Xenopus tropicalis: one gene and its partners. The protein of the gene in region 2 interacts with the protein of the main gene of each other region in a biochemical or structural test. Links are inferred from orthologs where the notes say so. Each region holds a gene or a part of one and is shown on either strand. Other genes may lie near its edges. The genes, in order: cdc25c, mark3 and ksr1.

Region 1 (6,660 bases), on a different chromosome or scaffold from region 2:
CTTCATGGTGTTGTTGCTCCCAATATTCTCTTAGACAACCTCTGAGGCCGTCACAGAGCAGCTGTATTTGTACTGACTTTACATTACACACAGGTGCACTCTATTTAGTCATTAGCACTCATCAGGCAATGTCTATGGGCAACTGACTGCACTCAGACCAAAGGGGGCTGAATAATTACGCACACCCCACTTTGCAGTTATTTATTTGTAAAAAATGTTTGGAATCATGTATGATTTTCGTTCCACTTCTCACGTGTACACCACTTTGTATTTGTCTTTCACGTGGAATTCCAATAAAATTGATTCATGTTTGTGGCTGTAATGTGACAAAATGTGGAAAAGTTCAAGGGGGCCGAATACTTTTGCAAGCCACTGTAGATCACCGCTGTTTGCCTATTTATACCAACACACATTTGGAAAGATTTTAAAGGCTAACAGAGAAGGACAATTTATGTTAAAGTACAGTATGGTATTTGATATGTTCACATATGTATTAAATATGAACAAAAATGTCTTTAAACAAGCAGATATGTGCAATTATACATGCAGCTTGAGTGAAGTGACTGTGACTCAGATTGGGAATTGTGAAGCATGTAGTGAGATGATAAAAATATAAGGATTTTTCTGAGAGAGGAAGTCAGATACGTGAAGAAAATGTTTACAAAAAAGGAGACAAGAAATCCTGTGTTTCTTTTGATAGAGGACAGCTTTTCTGAGCGCTTATGGCTGTATTTACATAGACCTTTCTGATAAAGTTTACTTAGTTTTTACCTTTCCTTCTCCCTTAAGCTTTAAATAAACCCAATAGGATTCTTGTGCCTCCAGTAAGGATTAATGTTATCTTAGTCTGTGCTGGAGCAACAAAACGGCAAATCACATGCAAAAAAACATCTGGTGCCAAAGTTTTGATTACTTACAGGCCATCAAACTGGACAAATTGTGTCTTTGGTGACTCCACTTTGCCTGAAAATTGATAATCACATGCATAAGAAACATACTGCCATGATGAGCTTATTGGACTGAAATTAACACACTTGATGAAAGCACTTTTTGTTTAAGTATTTCAACTAAATTCTATCTGAAATATCTCTCTCAACTGTGGTAGTCAGCACACAAGTAAAGAGACATTTGCATCTAAAAGGTTAACCTTTTAAAATGTCTACTATTGTGTTATATTTTAAATTATTTTGTGTCAGTCCCATTCTGAAATTGAAAATGCAATATTATTGTTTTATCAACAATCCACTACCTAAATGCTACAGCAGCCCTTAAATAAAATGAATATACATAGGTACCTTGTTCTTGTTTACTCAGCAGAAACTAAAGAATTCATACCTAATGACATTCTGTCAGGGGACTCTGTTGGCAGTGGCCCAGTCTCATCACCAAGGTTGGACAAGTCCAGGCAGCGTTTGGGAGTTTCACTGATCGTGGCAAAGAAACAAAAAAAACAAAAAAGAAAATAACTGTCCATGCGTAAATAAAGATTTTAGGGAAGAGAAAAACTATTTTTTAGCAATAAGAGCAAAATAGTGAGAGCAGACTAGTATATCTTCCAGTACAATCAAAACCATGTTATAAACAGTGCACTGAAGAAAATTAGGAAAAAGGAATATATGGACGGTTTCTTAAAGGAAAGAATATACAGCATATGTCACAATGCTGCACACACAATAAACAGGTGATGTTTTTCTCTGCCGTTTTTTACATAGCATGTCCACGCTGTCATGAAGCTCCTAGGTTCCAAGCATTCCTGCTCCCTTGCAGCCATTAAAAATTACCAGTTATATTTTAAGACAGACAGTACATGTGCAGATAAAAGCTCCTGTTTCAGGCCCTCCAGCTTATTGGCTTGTGTATGGGTTCCTCCAAAGACCTTACTTTTATATTGAGCCTCTAGAGAAGCAAAAAACAAAATAGAAATGCTAAAAAAAAAAAAAAATAGCTGACCTCACCAACTGATAAATTCTACTTTACAATGTACTCTAACTTCTTTGCTAAGACCTTTATTATGACCACTAATCACTTCAAATAATTCAAAAGCTTAATGTTTCTGAGACTCTTCAGCAACTTGCACATTTGTTTTTAGGTAATCACCATAGCAGGTAATGGGGAAGGTGGTCAATTTGAGGCAAACTGGCAATGGCTCCCAAGCATCTGAAATCATCAGTTTGTGATGCCCTTAAAACAGGGGTCCTCAAACTACAGCCCGCGGGTCGATTCGGCCCCCCAAGATCATTTACCCAGCCCCCACTGGTGTGATGCGGTGACACGCTGGGGCCGAGGACAATGCTGAGGCAGACAGGTAGTAGCCAGGGGTGAGGATGCAGCGGGGGCATAGTTCGAGGACTAACTATAGTCCAGCCCCCCCCAACAGTCTGAGGGACCAAGAACTGACACCCTGTTTAAAAAGTTTGAGGACCCCTGCCCTAAAACATATACAGAGCACAAAATAACCAGTTCTGCAAATTTCTCTGCATGCAGGCTTTAGAATGCCGAGCTGATATTTACCCAGTGAAGGTACTTAGGTTACTAAATCCAACAGCAAGGTCAGTGACAGGTGTCAAAGGCTGTTCAGGAGAAAATGTAACTGAGGAATCTTTTTCACGAAGGAGGTTTAATATCATTCTGCAATTTGTACGGAAATGCAGGCCTTGGTTGGACTTTGGGGGTGCTTCTGATGACATTATGTGATTCTCTGCCATGACTTCAGCCGAGCCTCCACTACTTGTCTGGAACCTGTGGTGCAAATGAAATACATAGTTATAGCACAAAATAAAAATGAAAGATCTGCAAACATGTGTTTTATACAAAACTCACAAATCTGTTTATTTTGTTATGAAAAACTTTCATATACTCTATGAGAACAATGAAGGTTATTACCATAAAGCTTGACTCTACAGCCATGTTTTTATTAATATACCCAAACATCTTTTATTTCAACTCACACAACAAACGTGCATTTTGGAGCCCTCCTTCTGACTAACATGTTTAATACCACCGATTGGGCACCTCAGATGCCTCATAAAAATTTTAAGCAATTTTAAAGAACAGTATTGCCAAAAAAAAGAAAGATCTGCGTTGAGATAAAATATAGCCTACCCTGGTCTGGGGCATTCAATGTGACTTAAATAGATAGAAAATAATCCAATTGGGTTTAATTAATGTTTTATTGATTTTTTTTAGTAGACTTAAAGGAGAAGGAAAGGCTAAGTCACTTGGGGGTGCCAAAATGTTAGGCACCCCCAAGTGACTTTAATCGCTTACCTTTTACCCCGGGCTGGTGCCCCTGTTGGGATAAAACCGCACCAGCCTGGCGTAGCTGCAGCAAGTGTTCACTCTTCCTTTGTGCGCTTGTGCAGTAGAGTGAAAAGCCAAACCTTAACAAGAAAGTGGGCTTTTTCACTCTACTGCGCATGCTCTGGCCCAGGGATTCCAAAGAGAGAAGAAATAAGGAAGAGGAAACGCTCAAAGACAAGCCAACCCAGAATATAATTTTTTGCCTAATAAGAGAAATTCTAAGCAACTTTGCAATATACATTCATTACAAATGTATAATGGTTTTTGAGTTATTTGTATATATAACTGCTATTAAAAGTAGTGTTTGTCAGTCATTTTTTATTTTCTGCCCTGGTGGCTTTGACTGTTGAAACAATTTAGCAGATACAAGGCAGCAGCCTGACAGACCTGTATTGCTGAAGGAGACTGACGTTTGCAATATTGTTTAAAAAGTAACAACCAGGAGTTCAGCAAATGCTGCTTTCTATAGCAATTACAATTAGCTATTAAAGCACTGAAAATTAGCCTTGGTATATAGGGACGGCCATGCGTCAAAGAGTACATTTTAAAGATTATTTATGACTCTTATTATATACTATTTAAGTACCTCTAAGTACAATATCCACTAGAGTGCAATACTCACTCCACCTGATAACATCAGGGCAATATTATTTGAGAAAAGGCTACAACATGCATGTATAAAGCAGGGCACAGATCATCACTACTGAACAGAGGTCACTAGAATGACAAGTTTAATAAGAACTGCTTACATTCGGGGGTTACACGCTCCTTAATTATCGAACCGACTCTCCATCGCCAAGTAGTCTGCGTCTGAAGCAAGTTATCATGTGTCCAGAACACCCTTCTACCCCTACAGCATCTGCGTGCACTTTTATTTTACCATTCGAACCCCTACTACGATACCAGTTACAGATACAACGTAGCAAAAAAAAAACAAAAAACCGAACACAAAATTAAAATCTTCCGCTTAGAACAACTAACCAATCACAAGAGAGCATCCGGGTCACAACTCACAAAAGCACCTAGAAAGGCTGTAGGACAGGGAGGTCCGTTGGGATAGGCTACAAGACAAGCTGTTTGAAACAAATATCTGTAATAATTGGCTGATAAGAGCGCGTCACAGGCAGCGCAGTCTCAGATTGGTTTAGTTGTTTTAGAGCTCTTCCTGGTCCCTGTTGCGCTCAGTGATTCGCTATCTCGTTTGTATTATGCATGCAGGGCGCGCCCACTTTGCTGTGGCGGGGTGTTTAAAGAGCAATGGCTGAGTAGCTTTAGTCAGCTGTTGTCTGAGCCATGCAGCGGTAATAGAGGGAAGCGTGCTGTTTGAAGTTGGTGTTCTACGATGAGCTTGTGTTGCTTTTTCTCCTCCGTTCTTTGGAAATTCTGTAGCTTTCCTATGCTGGAGTGGTTATGCTCACCCACTGGCTTAATGCTCTGTTTTGCCTGGCTGGTTGAAGGGCTTTAGAGTAGTGTGGATTTGACGTGTAATCGTTTTGTATTTGGTAGCTCCTGGCAGTTATTAGAAGTCTGCTTTTGGTATTAAAAAAAAAAAATGTATCTGGTTTTGTAATAATACATTCACTTCAAATGTGGAAAATGCTGTCAGGTTATTTCAGTGTTTTACATGGAAACATCTTGAGTTCTCTCTAATTCTGTTTGGATCTATGGGGCTCATTTGTAAACACTTGGCAAATTTGCACCTGGTCATTAACCCATAGCAGCCAAGCAGTAATTAGCCAGCTTTAGGTTAAACACTAAAAGCAATCATCTGATTGACCATGGGTTACTGCCCAGGTGCAAACTTACTCAGTGTTTACACATAACTTCAATTTTGTGCTTAAAATCTTGTTGCTGTCTTAATACAGGTTCCATATAAAATCTTCATGCTGCATGACTGGTTAGTAATTCTGCCCTGTTGTATGCTGTACGTTTTATAATGGTTCTCTAGCAAGAATATAATACGCATCAGAAAGGATTAATAATGTGGCATGTATTAAGAAACTGGAATACTTCTGGGATACATTTGTGCATTATCTAGGGAGGGAGGACCTGTAAAAAGCTTGATGGCCTTCAGGAATAGGGGCAGTAAAGCTTAACCTGGAATTGTAACCATTTTCTCTAAAACTTTTTGTATATGTATATCTTTGCTGCGCAGGTTGCATTGTCACTGTTTAAAATCGCACTTTATATAAATTCACTGCATGGATGATTTGTGTACCATTTATTATGCTACATTTGAGCTGATTATCACAGCAAACTTTTTTTTGTTCTAAACCAAAAGGAAGAAAATTTTACATTAAAGCTAATGTCAGTGGCGAAAATATGCCTACATAGTTTTACTACTGTTTTTGCAATCTCTTACCTGTCTAAGCAAATCACCAGCTTGTTTCTAGGGTTCAGTTGAGCCTTAGACTGCTAGATGTTCTTGACTTGGCCCAAAATAAGCTGCATATTTAAAGGGGAACATTTATTGAAGTGTTTAATCTCATAGAAATTAGACACTTCCTGTACAGTTACTGAAATCAAGTTCACTGTCTCCATGTCAGAAATTGACCTCTCTCTACATGCAACTTTGTGTCAGGGTCAGTTATTGTGAAAGACCACTGTAGTACACTGTCTAACTTTAGACAAAGGGAACACACATTTGACCTAACCATCAAAATCTAAATGATTCCTACATGAAGAGAGACAGATTGCTGCGAGTAAGGTGGCCATACACTGGCTGACTTCAGCTGCCGATATCTGTTCTTTAGACCGATTCAACAACTTGTATGCTCCATGTATGGGCACAGGCCTTCCCAACCAACATATGGCCTGAAATTAGCCAGATCTCAATTGGGCAGGTTTGTTTTTTCTGTTGGTTTAGGCATTGCATCGGCTCACTGTTGCATTCCCCGATCTGATGGCACCTATGCCTGCCTAGAGGTTGAATTGACCCGATATTGCCCGCTCATAGGTGGGCATATAGGGAAAAGATCCGCTCACTCGGTAACTTCGCCAAATTTGTTTATGGCCACTATTTTGGCCTTTTCAGAGGACCCAAATCATTTAAGCCAGCTTTTTCTAATGTAGAATTTGGTTAAAATGAGCTATACACCTTAATTTTATTTACTATTTTCACTTTTAAGTGGGTCACCGTAGGTACCATGCTTACAATGTAAACATATGTAATTTGTACAAAGGTATCCATATAGGCATCGATCGGTCATTCTGCTTGCCTGATCCCTTTCCTGTGTATATATATATATATATAACACCGTGGCACTATCCATTTGGTATGCTGATCCCAAATGTTAACCTGATGTCTAGAAGGGTAAAAGATTTTTTTTCCTTTTCACTTAGTGGTAGTTCATGTTTAAA
Region 2 (6,105 bases):
TTGATTACAATATTGGCACTGGTATGGTAAAGTTAATTGCAGAACAATGCCTAATTAATGCACACACCAGACATGTAAATGTTAAATAAAATGCTGCAAATTATAAAAGAAATTATAAAAAGAAGTATCCTTTACATTTATATTCACTGGTATTCAGCTGATGAATAACATTATTTCTTACCTTGAGATCTCTGTGAACAATATGTTTTTGGTGACAATACTGCACAGCAGACACTATCTAGAAATTAAAAAATATAACAATTAAAGCTTTCTGGAAAAATGCTTCTCCATGATTAGGATTTTCTAGGTGAGATGCAAATCAATATGAATTCTGAATTTTCTGACCATATTTAGAGGCGTTACAAATCCACTTACAAATATGGAGATTTTCCTTTTGGTACTTTTCTAATTTAATGTTAAATTACTTAAGCAATCTTGTATTACTCCCGCTTTATATTGGGGATTCAAAAAAACAAAACAAAACAAAAAAAAACATGGTTTTCTTTGGTTTCCTCACCTGGCGAAATTTAGCTCTTGCTTCTTTTTCCTTCATTCTTCCATGTGCAACCAAGTAGTCAAAAACTTCACCTAGAAAAATGAAACAGAAATGTGCAACAAAAGAAGTTCAAAGTAACGAGTAAAGGTAATCAGATAAGTCACAGGGCCCAGAGATGTTTCTCAAGCGGCATTTATGGATCATGTTTATATTGTGTCTTCTTTGCATGATAGAGTTTCAGCTTGCATTTGTGGATGCAACTATGTTCGCAGACAATGTTTTTTTGCGAGTATTCCTGAGCCCATGAAATGATTTTCATTACAAAATTGTGTCTGTTTTAAATGTAGTGTCGCCTGAGGGCCCAAAGTTCATGACCGTCCGATACTGGCTTTTTGCCTATTCCATTGCATTACATTATGGCATGTAAATAAGTTGTTGCAATATTTACTAGCATAGCGTTTTACAGAGTATTGCACCCCACCCCATCTTTACATCCAAGAGACCCAAGCCTCTTTTTTGAAACAGGTTTCTGGCATCAAATTCAAAATGGGCACATATTTAATAAAAAAAATTGTAATATTTGCAATATAGGATTTAAATGATTTGCAAATCATCCCATTCTCTTTATCTACATGTAACCTAGTGTTCTAACACTGTATCTGTAGTTTCACAGGCAAAAGTGCTTCACAACCTTTAGTTATCAAGTCACCCCTTCATACAGGTACAAAAGTGCTTGAAAGGAAAAGGACATAGGTGGTCGTGTTAGTACAGATACTGCAGAAACAAAGCGCACATCACAGCTACATGAAGATCCTGCTACAACAAAGGATAGAAAAAGTACATAGCAAACTAAAAACAGAGTCCTAATGCTATTGTACTATTCACTGCCCACTTTAACAGGTAACCCTTAGGGGCTGATTTACTAATCCACGAATCAGAAAAATTCGGATTGGAAAACGAACATTTTGCGACTTTTTCGTATTTTTTTCGTCGCCGTTACGACTTGCGCAAATTGTCGCAACTTTTTCATAGCCATTACAAATTTCGTTAATTGTCGCAACTTTTTCATAGCCATTATGACTTTCGCGAATTGTCGCGACTTTTTCGTATTGAGCGCTCGAAAAATTTGCGACAATTTGCGAAAAAGTCGCAAAATACCGATCATTACGAAAAAAACGCATTCAGACGCTTTTCAGACGTTCATAGATTAGTAAATGTGTCCCTTAGTATGTGCTACTTTGTATGGTGGAATTACAGCAAAGAAAAAATTATCAGAGATGTAAACAATACAACGCAGTCAGAATGTTCCCATATATAGAGTGGATGTTATACAAGCTTGTGATAACGGCTATGATTTACTGTTCTGGGTCATTTTGTAAACAAACATTTAGGGGGCAGTAAAGCTAGTGTGAAGTCACTAACTACCACTCTTGCAGAATGTCACTCTGCTCTGTAGGCTTATAGCTACCAGACATGTCCTTCAACAGTATAGAGAAACCACCAGGCTACAAATGCAACCATATGCTAATCACCAAGTCTATTTTAATTTAAAACAGACCAATAATTATTTGCAGACTCTACCAGGCAGGGCCCCTCTAAAGCTGGCCATACACGTGGCGATCTCACGATGTTTCGTACGACCGTCGGTCGCACGAAACATCGTCAGATCCGCCACACACCATTCAGGGCTGAATCGGCAGGTAAGGAGGTAGAAACAATAGGATTTCTACCTCCTTCTGCCGATTCAGCTCTGAAGGGAGAATTTTGGTCAGGCGCCTTCTATGGCGCCCGATCAAAATTTTCTAACTTGGCCGATCGGCGAGTCGGCCGATATCAGCAGCTTCCTGCGATATCGGTCGGCTCGCTGACATGCCATACACGCACAGATTATCGTACGAAACGAGGTTTCGTACGATAATATCGGTGCGTGTATGGCCACCTTTAGTCTGTATTTCTGTTGTCTTTTACCTACTTAAAATACTGTCTGGATGAAAATTGTAGAGAGGTACCCGACAATTCCTTGTGATGCGTTGCTACTACTTTTCTCATGAAATGTTGTAGGGTTCATTCATGTGACTTAGCCTTTATAATGGTCTAACAAAATATGCCTGATAAAAGTACAAACATCTACATTACATTTGGCATGTCCTGGTAAATCTAAAAATTGGCATGACATAGCAACAGAGATAAATGATTACTATTATATAAATTATATCTATTACAAGATAAACTATTTTGATACCATGGGATGCAGCAAACTGAATAGGGTTACACCACTGTATAATCTTGGCCAAAAAGCACATCAAATACACAAATCTAAAGTAAATGTTAATTATGGAATGACATCCAATTTTCAACTAAAAATGGGCATGACAAAGGGTTCCCACTCATCTTTATCTGCTCTGGCTATAGAAATGTTTTAAAAAAATCGAATTTCAAATTAAGGTGCCCATAAACGGGCCGATTCTAGCTGTCGATAACGGTCCCTTAGACCGATTCGGCAGCTTATAGGTCTGTGTATGTGCACTAATGACGGGCCTGCCCGACTGATATCTGTCCTGAAATTGGGCAGATCTCGATCAGGCAGGTTTGAAAATCGGTCGGACCGGGGAACCATTGGCTCGTTCATGCGGTCTAATTCGACTGTTTGGCTCCAGTGCCAAACGACCAAATTAGCCCGATATCGCCCGCCTGTAAGTGGGGATATCGAGAGAAGATCCGCTCGCTTGGCGATCTTGGCGTGTATGGTCACCTTGTAAGGAAAGTAAGAAGTTCATTATGTAGAATGAATATTTGAAGTCTGGTAATCTGATTATATACCTCCTTGGACCAATCATGGAATAGCTTGTTGTTACAGTAGATTGTTACTAAAACAATAGGCCCTTTCAACCCTGCAGGCCTTTTGGTTCCAAGGCAACTAAGAACATGTACCTACCCCCCCTTTTGTCTGTAACTTCTCTATATCCTTTTAAGAAAATTTTTGGATGTTAAAATCATTGTTTTAAATATACCAAAAAACACTAATATACAGATAGGACTTACCTCCACTTGCATACTCCATCACCAAATAGAGTGTTTTTTCTGTTTCAATTACTTCAAATAATTTAACTGCAGGGAGAAAAATAGGTCTTTAAAGAAATCTGCAGATATGTTTTTTTTAATACCTTCAGTTATACACATATTTGCAATATGAACCAGCTGTTGCCCTGAAAACTGTATGACTTTTTAAATATTCTAAAAATGGCAAGGTCATGTTGAGGACAGAGGCATGTTTTTTTTTTTTATATTCATTTAAAAGGCACAATCCTAAAAAACTTTAGAATAAAGCAGAATGAGTAGGGATTCCCACAATTCCTCTAAATGGCTTTGTTTTGCGATGGCCTGCCCTGCTCGCAACATCACTACATCAGTTATATATTTGCACCTTCCCCTTGCCCCTCTAGTGACATCAGAGATGGATGAGGGCACGCATATATAAGAAACAATGGCTTGCCAGGTTGGAAGAGGAAGGGTTAGTATTGGTCATCTCACACTTTAAAAATGTATAGGTGTAACAGGGTGCTAAGTACATATAATAAGCTTGCATGCAACTAATATGATATTGAAAAACCAATGTGAAAACAATATAATCATTTGGAACCTGTGAGTTTATCCAATGTTTGATTGCCCTCACATGGCCCAAATGATTGCTCACAATGGCAAATGAAAGTTACCTTGCAAAACTGCATACCTTGGAAGATTTTGTTCTGCTATGTGAGATGGTTAAAAGGCAGAAACTGTAATTTTCTTCAAATATTTTCATCTCTGCTGCTATCATGTATATATTCCAGAAGGGCATTTACCACTACATAAAACAAACTATGAAAGGCAAGACAGAAATTTTAAATCACTGGCCTTTTTTCCACCTGATAACAGCAGCAGGGAAAATGCCTAGTACCATTGGCCTTACACTATATAATTTTCTAAAACAGCTTTTTCCTCCAGTTACTTCAAACTGATAGAAGCACAGCCACTTCAAATTCACTATCCTCTTAATTCAAATATACTTCCCTCTCTTTCTCTGGACTAACTACCCTCCAATCATCCTTGGTGACTTAACCTGCCAAATTTAGGACCCCTTACAATAAATAAACAGTTCCTTTGAGGTCCAGAATTGGACAGTCAACCATAACAGTCCATTTTTTAATTTAATGTTAACCACAAATCTGACACATTCTGCTTTTAAAAGTGTTAACCTGGGCAGCTGGAAATTGCCAAAGAGCCCTCCCTCTGCCATTCAGCGATCTTCAGTAAAATGTTTACAATCTGCCTATCCAATCAGTGAAAAGCAGAGGTTGTAAGTGATGTGGCCACCCATAAGTGAGGCTGCTGATATAGCCCTCACCTTGCTATAAAGGCTTGGTATTTAAAATAAAAAAATAAAAAAAAAATCCCCACTTACCACAGGGCTGAAAATACAGCCCCATGCTATTGTATCTGTTTCACTAGCAAATCATTTCTATAAATATTCATAGAAAACTTTATATAAACAATCCTTCAAACAAAAAGTTACAATATTTAAAAACTTATGTCTTAAGTTACTACTGCAAAAGAGATAAACATCATATTTTAGTAAAATAAAGGTCTACCAGATAATTCATTACCTATATTTGGATGATTCAAAATCTTCATTATTCTTACCTCCCTGAAAAGCTGAAAGATAGTTTACATTAGAACAAAAAAAAAAAAGTTATGTACTTAAAATAGTGCTTGAAAACCCTGTCAGTTTGGAATGATCATTAATGTCTGATTTGTACTCTTTAATTTTCTCTTGTACACCTATTGGGTAAAATGCTTTTATGATTTTATGTTTTGAAAGACTCTTTGAAAATAAATAAATAAATAAATAAAAACTGACGAAGAAAACCTTGCCAGTTAGCAATTTTTATTTGTAGGTTGGGTGCACAGGAAACCCTTTTATAAAAAATATGAACACAAATACAAAACACAAAAAAACAGTTAAGACATGTATAAAACCAAATATGCAAATTTTATTAAAAAAGCATATTAAAGAAAAAAATGGTTTGTTTTTAACACAGGGCCTTCAAAACAAAGGGCTGTTTCAACTATCAGTTTGCACCCACACACTGACAATTTGGTCTAGCCATAGTTTTAGCCCAATGCACTGACCAATAAGCTGACAACAGGGTCTTGACTGATCTAGATTGTAAGTTCTATGGGGCAGGGACCTCCATCCTTTTGTCTCTGACTCTTAACTTATTGCAACTGTACCTTGTATTTATTTGTATTTATTGTTATACTTTGTATTAATATATTATCTTAATAACCCCGTTCGTATTGATCTATACTACTGAAAAGAAGGGTAGGGGGAAAATGCCTACATTTGTAGAAAAAAAGGTAAATTTCAAAGGACATGTTAACCCCAAAACTAGTTTTTTGCCCAATAAAAGCAAACTTAATTTTAAGAAACTTTGCAATATGCATTCATTACATATTTGTAATGGTTTTTAAGTTATTTGTACATATAATTGATATTAATAGCAGTGTCTGCCTGTCCTTTCTATTCTCTGCCCTGCCCTGGTGGCTCTGGCATTTGAAACAATGTAACA
Region 3 (6,105 bases), on a different chromosome or scaffold from region 2:
TGTTTGAATCTAATGCAAGATAGTGCTGGTCCTTACCAAACATATGCATTTTTGACTGTGCACCGTGACAGATTATTTGAAGACAAGTGCAGGTACATATTTACATAGATACACATATACATATATACATACATAACAATAAGGCACTTATAGGATTCCAAATTTGTGAAAAACAGTGCAAAAATTTTACTTATAAACCAAATTTGCTCACTATTTTTCTCAACTTTTTGAAGTCCTGTGAGTGCCTTATTGTTATGTCTGCATATTACCTATTCATGATATGCACCCAGGCTTTTCTTTGTTGAGATGCAAGTACAGCTATATCTTGCATTATATATACACACACATATACAAAATATACACACATATATCTATATACTGTATACTCATGTACACACACACAGATGATACTCAGTAATTATTGATTTTGAATTCTGCAGAAAGTGTGACGAGGTTAAACAATGCACTTCGAGTCAAGCTTGTGACTAATCACTGAAACTCCTGGAAATCCCCATGTGTCAACTCTCGGAAAACTAAACCACAGTTACCAGCGCTGACAGCTGAACAGGCTGGTGATATTCACTTAAGCTTGGTTTCCTGCAGTCTTTTAATTACTGTGGAACTTTTGGTGTGTTTCATGGAAATAGCACAGTGTATGTAAATTTTTTAATGAAATACAAAACCAAGGAAAAATTTAAAAACAAATAAAAAAAAAAAAACCCAAACATTATTGGTTGCCTTTTTTTGTATTGTCAAAAAAAGAGAAAAGAAAAGGAGTTATCTTCAGTCTATCTGGCTGCAGCAGGACAATCCCGGATTCAGGGCTATTCTGTTTAAAACTATAAATGATTTGCAACACTCCCAACTGCCAACACTTGGTAAAAAGATGCAAATAAAAGTTGCATGGCCACAGTTTGGGTATCCCTATTTCAGGAGACTTACATAACTTCTCAGTTGTTGGGTTAAAATTATTTTATACCTTGGGTTCATTATACAACAACTTTGACAATAAAAAAGGCAACCTGAATGAATAAATTCATATATGGTAGTAATTCTAACCTATCCTCTACCAATTTCATACTGTTCTGTGTGCCACTGATACTGCATAAGCCATATCCTTTTGGAATGCATTCATACAAGAGCAAACTCATTTACCACTTGAGAAGAAGCAACTACAGGAGTTCTAATGGGTAAAACTTCTAGCCCAAAATTCCAATTTGTGTCTGTATCAGTGGCAGGTGCAAAGCAAGCTCACACTGGTGCTGCACTTAAAGGAACAGTAACACCAAAAAATGAAAGTGTATAAAAGTAATAACAATATAATGTACTGTTGCCCTGCATTGCTACAACTGGTGTGTTTGCCTCAGAAAGACTACTATAGTTTATTTAAGTTAGCTGCTGTTAAGCCATGGGGGCAGCCATTCAAAGGAGAAAAGGCACAGGTTACTTAGCAGATAACAGATAAACCCCCATTATATGGGGCTTATCTACTAGTTATCTGCTATGTAACCTGTGCCTTTTCTCCTTTTTTTCAGCTTGAATGGCTGCCCCCATGGCTACACAGCAGCTTATTTATATAGTAGCTTTTTTGTAGCAAAAATACCAGTTTTTTGCAGAGCAACAGCACATTATATTTTAATTACTTTAAAACACTTTAATTTTTTGATGTTACTGATCCTTTAACCCTTATCTTTGAAATGCTGCATACATTTATGGCTTAACTGTTTTGCAAGTGGAAAGAAAATGTAACATTGCATCTGTTTGGTGCATTTTGCTCCGTGACTGTGCATTTTGCAGTGCTTATATTTATTCTTCAATTCAAGCTCTACTTATGCCCATTGCAACACTGTTGTTATATTACTTGTGCCAGGGCAACAGTGGTAGAAACAGCTCCCAAAAAAAGATTCATTGGATAGTGCAGATAACTTCCTGAGAGGGAATTCTGGCCCAAAAGCCATAATCAGAAGCGGCTATTACATAAGACAGCATGGAGCTGGCGGACTCTCATATAGCTGACAATTATAGAAAAACCATAAAAGTAAAAGCCTCTAAGTAAAAGTGTGTTTTCCAGTAAACATCTAAAGGGAATATGATGAACCTTGTCTTTTGCATCCAATCTCTTCAATGATCAATACATTGTACAGATCCATATCCCAACTCATCCCTCTCTTAAAGGGAAAAGAAAGTCAAAGTCACTTGGGGGTGCCAAAATGTTAGGCACCCCCAAGTGACTTTGACCACCTACCTTTTACCCCGGGCTGGTGCCCCTGTGAGGAGGGAACAGCACCAGCCCGGGGTAGCTGCCGGCGCTTCCTTCCTCTTGTTTCGCTGCGCGCGCATGCGCAGTAGAGTGAAAAGCCGAACTTAAACATTAAAGTCGGCTTTTCACTCTACTGCGCATGCGCCCACTGCTGGCATTCAGGAAGAGGAAGCCAGAACACGGAAGCGCTGCGCTCCAGGTGCCCCGGGCTGGTGCTGTTTTCTCCCAACAGGGGCACCAGCCCGGGGTACGAGGTAAGCGGTTAAAGTCACTTGGGGGTGCCTAACATTTTGGCACCCCCAAGTGACTTTACCTTTCGTTTCCCTTTAAAGAAGGCCAAGGGTAAACAACAAAAAACAAAAAGGAAGAACCACCCAGAATGTATTGAATTTATGTTTCAGTTCTGTCTAGTCAAAGATATTAAGCTGCACAACTCACTGTAATGATACCAACATCAAATGGAAAGTATTATTAAACAAGAATTTATAAAATGCTAACATATTCCACAATAGAAAGATGAAGACATCAGTGATGATACCTCTGCACAGAAATGGCCAAGAAAGGCATTATGATACCAGCACATATTCTAGAAGAATTGTGCAAAAAGCTGTATTTGGTTTTAACAAATATTTTTAGGTCAATGCAACACTGGGAGCTTTTCAATATTCCCTTTGAATTAAAGGGAAGATGGCAGACTACTTATCTGATGATTAAGCAATCCTCTGTAAATTCAAAAGATATATACCTGAATAAAAACTTACTTAAGAGAAGGAACTTCATCTATTCTGTTGCCAAGCTGAGATTCATGAGACTTGCTTCTTTTGAGCGTTGAAAAGTTGGGAAGTAATTGCTGAAACACTTTGCGGCCTGGAGGGGGTGGTGTCCGAGGGGGCTTTAATTTTATGGCCCTCTTTAACTGTGGGGTGGTAGGAGGGGTGATTGTAAATCCATGGGGAGTCCTAAGTGTTAACCTACTGATAGGTGTTGAGGAGGAGAAAGGGTCCTGCAAGTTCTCTGCATAAATATAAGGTCCTTGGCTTGAGGATTCTGAGAAAGGGATGGCAGAAACGGAAATGGAGCGAGGCTGGTGGCTGTTGGTCTTCGGAGGCTGAGAGTTAAGAGTCCATGCTGCTCCAACGGGAGAGGAAATATCAGACGGAACTTGGGAAGAGCTTTCTTTCCTCATCTCTGGTGGATTCCATAATGTATCTTTCATGTCCCCCCCTGTAAAAAAAAAAAAGGAAAAAAGAAAATCAGTTTGGAAAATATTTTGTATGCGCAAAATAAAGAACATTTCTTTAATCTAGAAGTAAATTATGAAATTCTATGTTACTGTCAATAGTCAGTTGCAAATCTTAGGGCTGACAAGATGTAATCTTGTCAATCTCATCTTCTTGCCAAGCTACTTGTCCAACTGGTGGCCTGCAGCCCCCCTCCTTGTGTGGCCTCATTAAAATCTGGCTGCTGTGAATGCTTACATTTGTATAATCTTAAAAAGCATCAGTACTGAGATTAACTTGCCCCCTGCATTATTCACACCTCAGATTCAAGCTGTAAAACCCTGCATTGTTCACACCTCAGACCCTAAGCTTCCCTGTTTCCTTCCCTACTCTGTCTGCCCTATGCTACCTGTGTGTGTCAAACTCTGCCTGCCCTATTCAGTCTGTGAAATGCAGGGTCTTACAGGTGTGAAAAATGCAGGGGCTCACAACTGTGAACAATGCAGGGGTTCACAGCTTGAATCTAAGGTGTGAATAATTCAGGGACCAGTTAATCTCAGAACGGATACCTTTTAAAGCTTACACAAAGGTGGGGGTTAAGGCGCTACCCACAGGGAAGGAGGAGAAGCCTTATAGATTTAAGAGTATAAGTGTATGCTTTAATATGACAATCAACTTTTTTCACATATGAGTGGTGGGTGAGCACCAATCATTCGATTTTTTTGGTGTGCTACCACCATTAATGGGGGTATTGCCTTAAAAGTTCCTGTGATAAAATTGGTGTGGTTTAAAAAGGGGAGTGTTTTTTTGGCCCTCGGTACCACAAAAGTTGTACAGCACTATTCTAATCTAATGTCTTTGATGGATAGCTGAATGAGCCACAATCTGATATCACTAGGGAGTGTATATTTTTAAAATTTTACTTCACAATAGTTTTCTTGCTTATTCACAGCATCCAAAGTCTGCTTTAAGGCAGAAATAAATGATTTGTATTGCTCCAAATGTTGCAAATGTACTCAGCTGGTTGTTCTGTAAAGTCTAGTTTGCTAAAAGTTGTATTTTACCCTTTTTTATGTCCCATTTAAGAAACACGTTCTACAGGTATATATAAACGCTTGGGCTAGGGCTGCCAATATTTAGGAGGTAGCAGGCAGGAATTTAGGCTGTGGCCTTGAAAATATCAAAACCATCCCCAGGATATTAAATCTTGGTGTTATGTAGCAGAAATCATGTTGGGAAACCAGATAGATAGATGATAGATAGATCTACATTTAAACTAACACCCCCCTTCTCTAAGCAGCAGCCTTTGAGCAGCTCATTATCAGAGGGCTTTTCCATGGACTGGTAATTAGTTTTATCAGCTCCTTTGAAGTGCTGTAGGATCAGGATGTGACAGGAAGTATTAAAGTGGAACTGGCTTCATATTCTAGTTTAGTGTCAGATGTAAAAGATTATATAAGTAAGATTAGCACAAGCCTTTTCATAGAATTCTTGATGAAAATGGGTGTGTGTTGTACCTTTAAATTCAGTTATACTGGCCTGGTCTGTCAGCTTATTGAGACCTACACAGGGTTGCCTTATGTACTCAGAAATGCTTTCTACAGAAGGGAGTATTCCCTTTTGGGTGGGTCATGTCCTGTTTTATTATTGTTGTAATGGTACAGGTTGGGAGAGAAATTCTTACCTGAACGTGCTAATTTCTTTAAGCAGGTTAGAGCTCCATTAAGTCTGGAGCATTCTTCTGTGTTGGCTCCACATTTCTTCATGGTTTCTTTTACTTTTAATTCATTCAATTCCAATAAGGCATCTAGTGTTAATTCTTCTGATACTTTCTAAAAACAGATGCAAAACAATTGTCATGTACAACTTTCAAAATGGTAAATATTTGCCATCTTTAAGTAAGGTTAAGGAGGCACAAAGTACTTAAAACTGTTATACATGTGTATCCATTTGCTGTACATCCTCAATTTCCTACATGCTGATCTCTGCCTGTGGGTTTCAGTCACGTGGAAAGAAGTGGATCTGCAACACTCATCATTTCCCTGTAGCTGCAATAACAATGACAGCTTCCACCAGAGTGCAGCTACATAGAGTAGAGCGGCCAAAAATGCCTGCTTTCACGTTTTAGGGCAATTCACTGCTTCCACTCCATTCTGAGTAGCTGCATGCAGGCTGTGATTGTCAGTGCAGCTACAGGGAGATGCTGATAAGAGTGGATCCACTTATACGCCTGATTAAAAATGCTCTGTGTGACCAAAGGAGCCAGACTTCAGCCTCTCATAATGAACTTGCTTTCCCTCTCTCAGAACAATGGGAAGGTAGCAGCTCCCAGTACATATCAGAATAGAACTCAATAGTAACAAATCCAGCTTGGGACCCCTCCAGTTACATTGAGAAGGAGAAACAATAGGCTAAATTCTAATGTGTAGCGCTGGCTCTTTCTGAAAGTTCAGAATCAGGCACCAATATTACTAAAAAATACATTTGTTGGTTCAAGAATAACATTTTAAATGGTAGAGTGAATTATTTGCTATGTAAACAGTGTAATTTAGAAATTAAAAGTACACTATAAGAATCATGTCAAAATCCCTTTAACTGTCTTACAGTTAGACATACAAAACTCAA

What was found.
Region 1: of the proteins of mark3 (region 2) and cdc25c, one has a biochemical effect on the other in vitro, tested with the Homo sapiens proteins (3 studies listed by BioGRID, with this or other methods). The link is inferred for Xenopus tropicalis from reciprocal best matches to the Homo sapiens genes MARK3 and CDC25C.
Region 3: of the proteins of mark3 (region 2) and ksr1, one has a biochemical effect on the other in vitro, tested with the Homo sapiens proteins (2 studies listed by BioGRID). The link is inferred for Xenopus tropicalis from reciprocal best matches to the Homo sapiens genes MARK3 and KSR1.

What each region holds. Positions count from the first base shown.
Region 1 is NC_030679.2:48,002,325-48,008,984, forward strand, and holds the start of cdc25c (M-phase inducer phosphatase 3), read right to left. Parts: upstream 4,383-6,660; 5' UTR 4,299-4,382; coding exon 4,282-4,298; exon of another isoform or gene 4,052-4,281; coding exon of another isoform or gene 4,050-4,051; intron 2,740-4,049; coding exon 2,512-2,739; intron 1,425-2,511; coding exon 1,336-1,424; intron 964-1,335; coding exon 918-963; intron 1-917. Other genes in the region: oocyte-specific histone RNA stem-loop-binding protein 2, read left to right, coding at 5,184-5,197. UniProt on the Homo sapiens protein: Functions as a dosage-dependent inducer in mitotic control. Tyrosine protein phosphatase required for progression of the cell cycle. When phosphorylated, highly effective in activating G2 cells into prophase.
Region 2 is NC_030684.2:98,313,415-98,319,519, reverse strand, and holds part of mark3 (MAP/microtubule affinity-regulating kinase 3), read right to left. Parts: intron 5,189-6,105; coding exon 5,140-5,188; intron 3,605-5,139; coding exon 3,539-3,604; intron 589-3,538; coding exon 518-588; intron 239-517; coding exon 182-238; intron 1-181. UniProt on the Homo sapiens protein: Serine/threonine-protein kinase. Involved in the specific phosphorylation of microtubule-associated proteins for MAP2 and MAP4. Phosphorylates the microtubule-associated protein MAPT/TAU. Phosphorylates CDC25C on 'Ser-216'.
Region 3 is NC_030678.2:104,942,833-104,948,937, reverse strand, and holds part of ksr1 (kinase suppressor of Ras 1), read right to left. Parts: intron 5,313-6,105; coding exon 5,165-5,312; intron 3,485-5,164; coding exon 3,022-3,484; intron 1-3,021.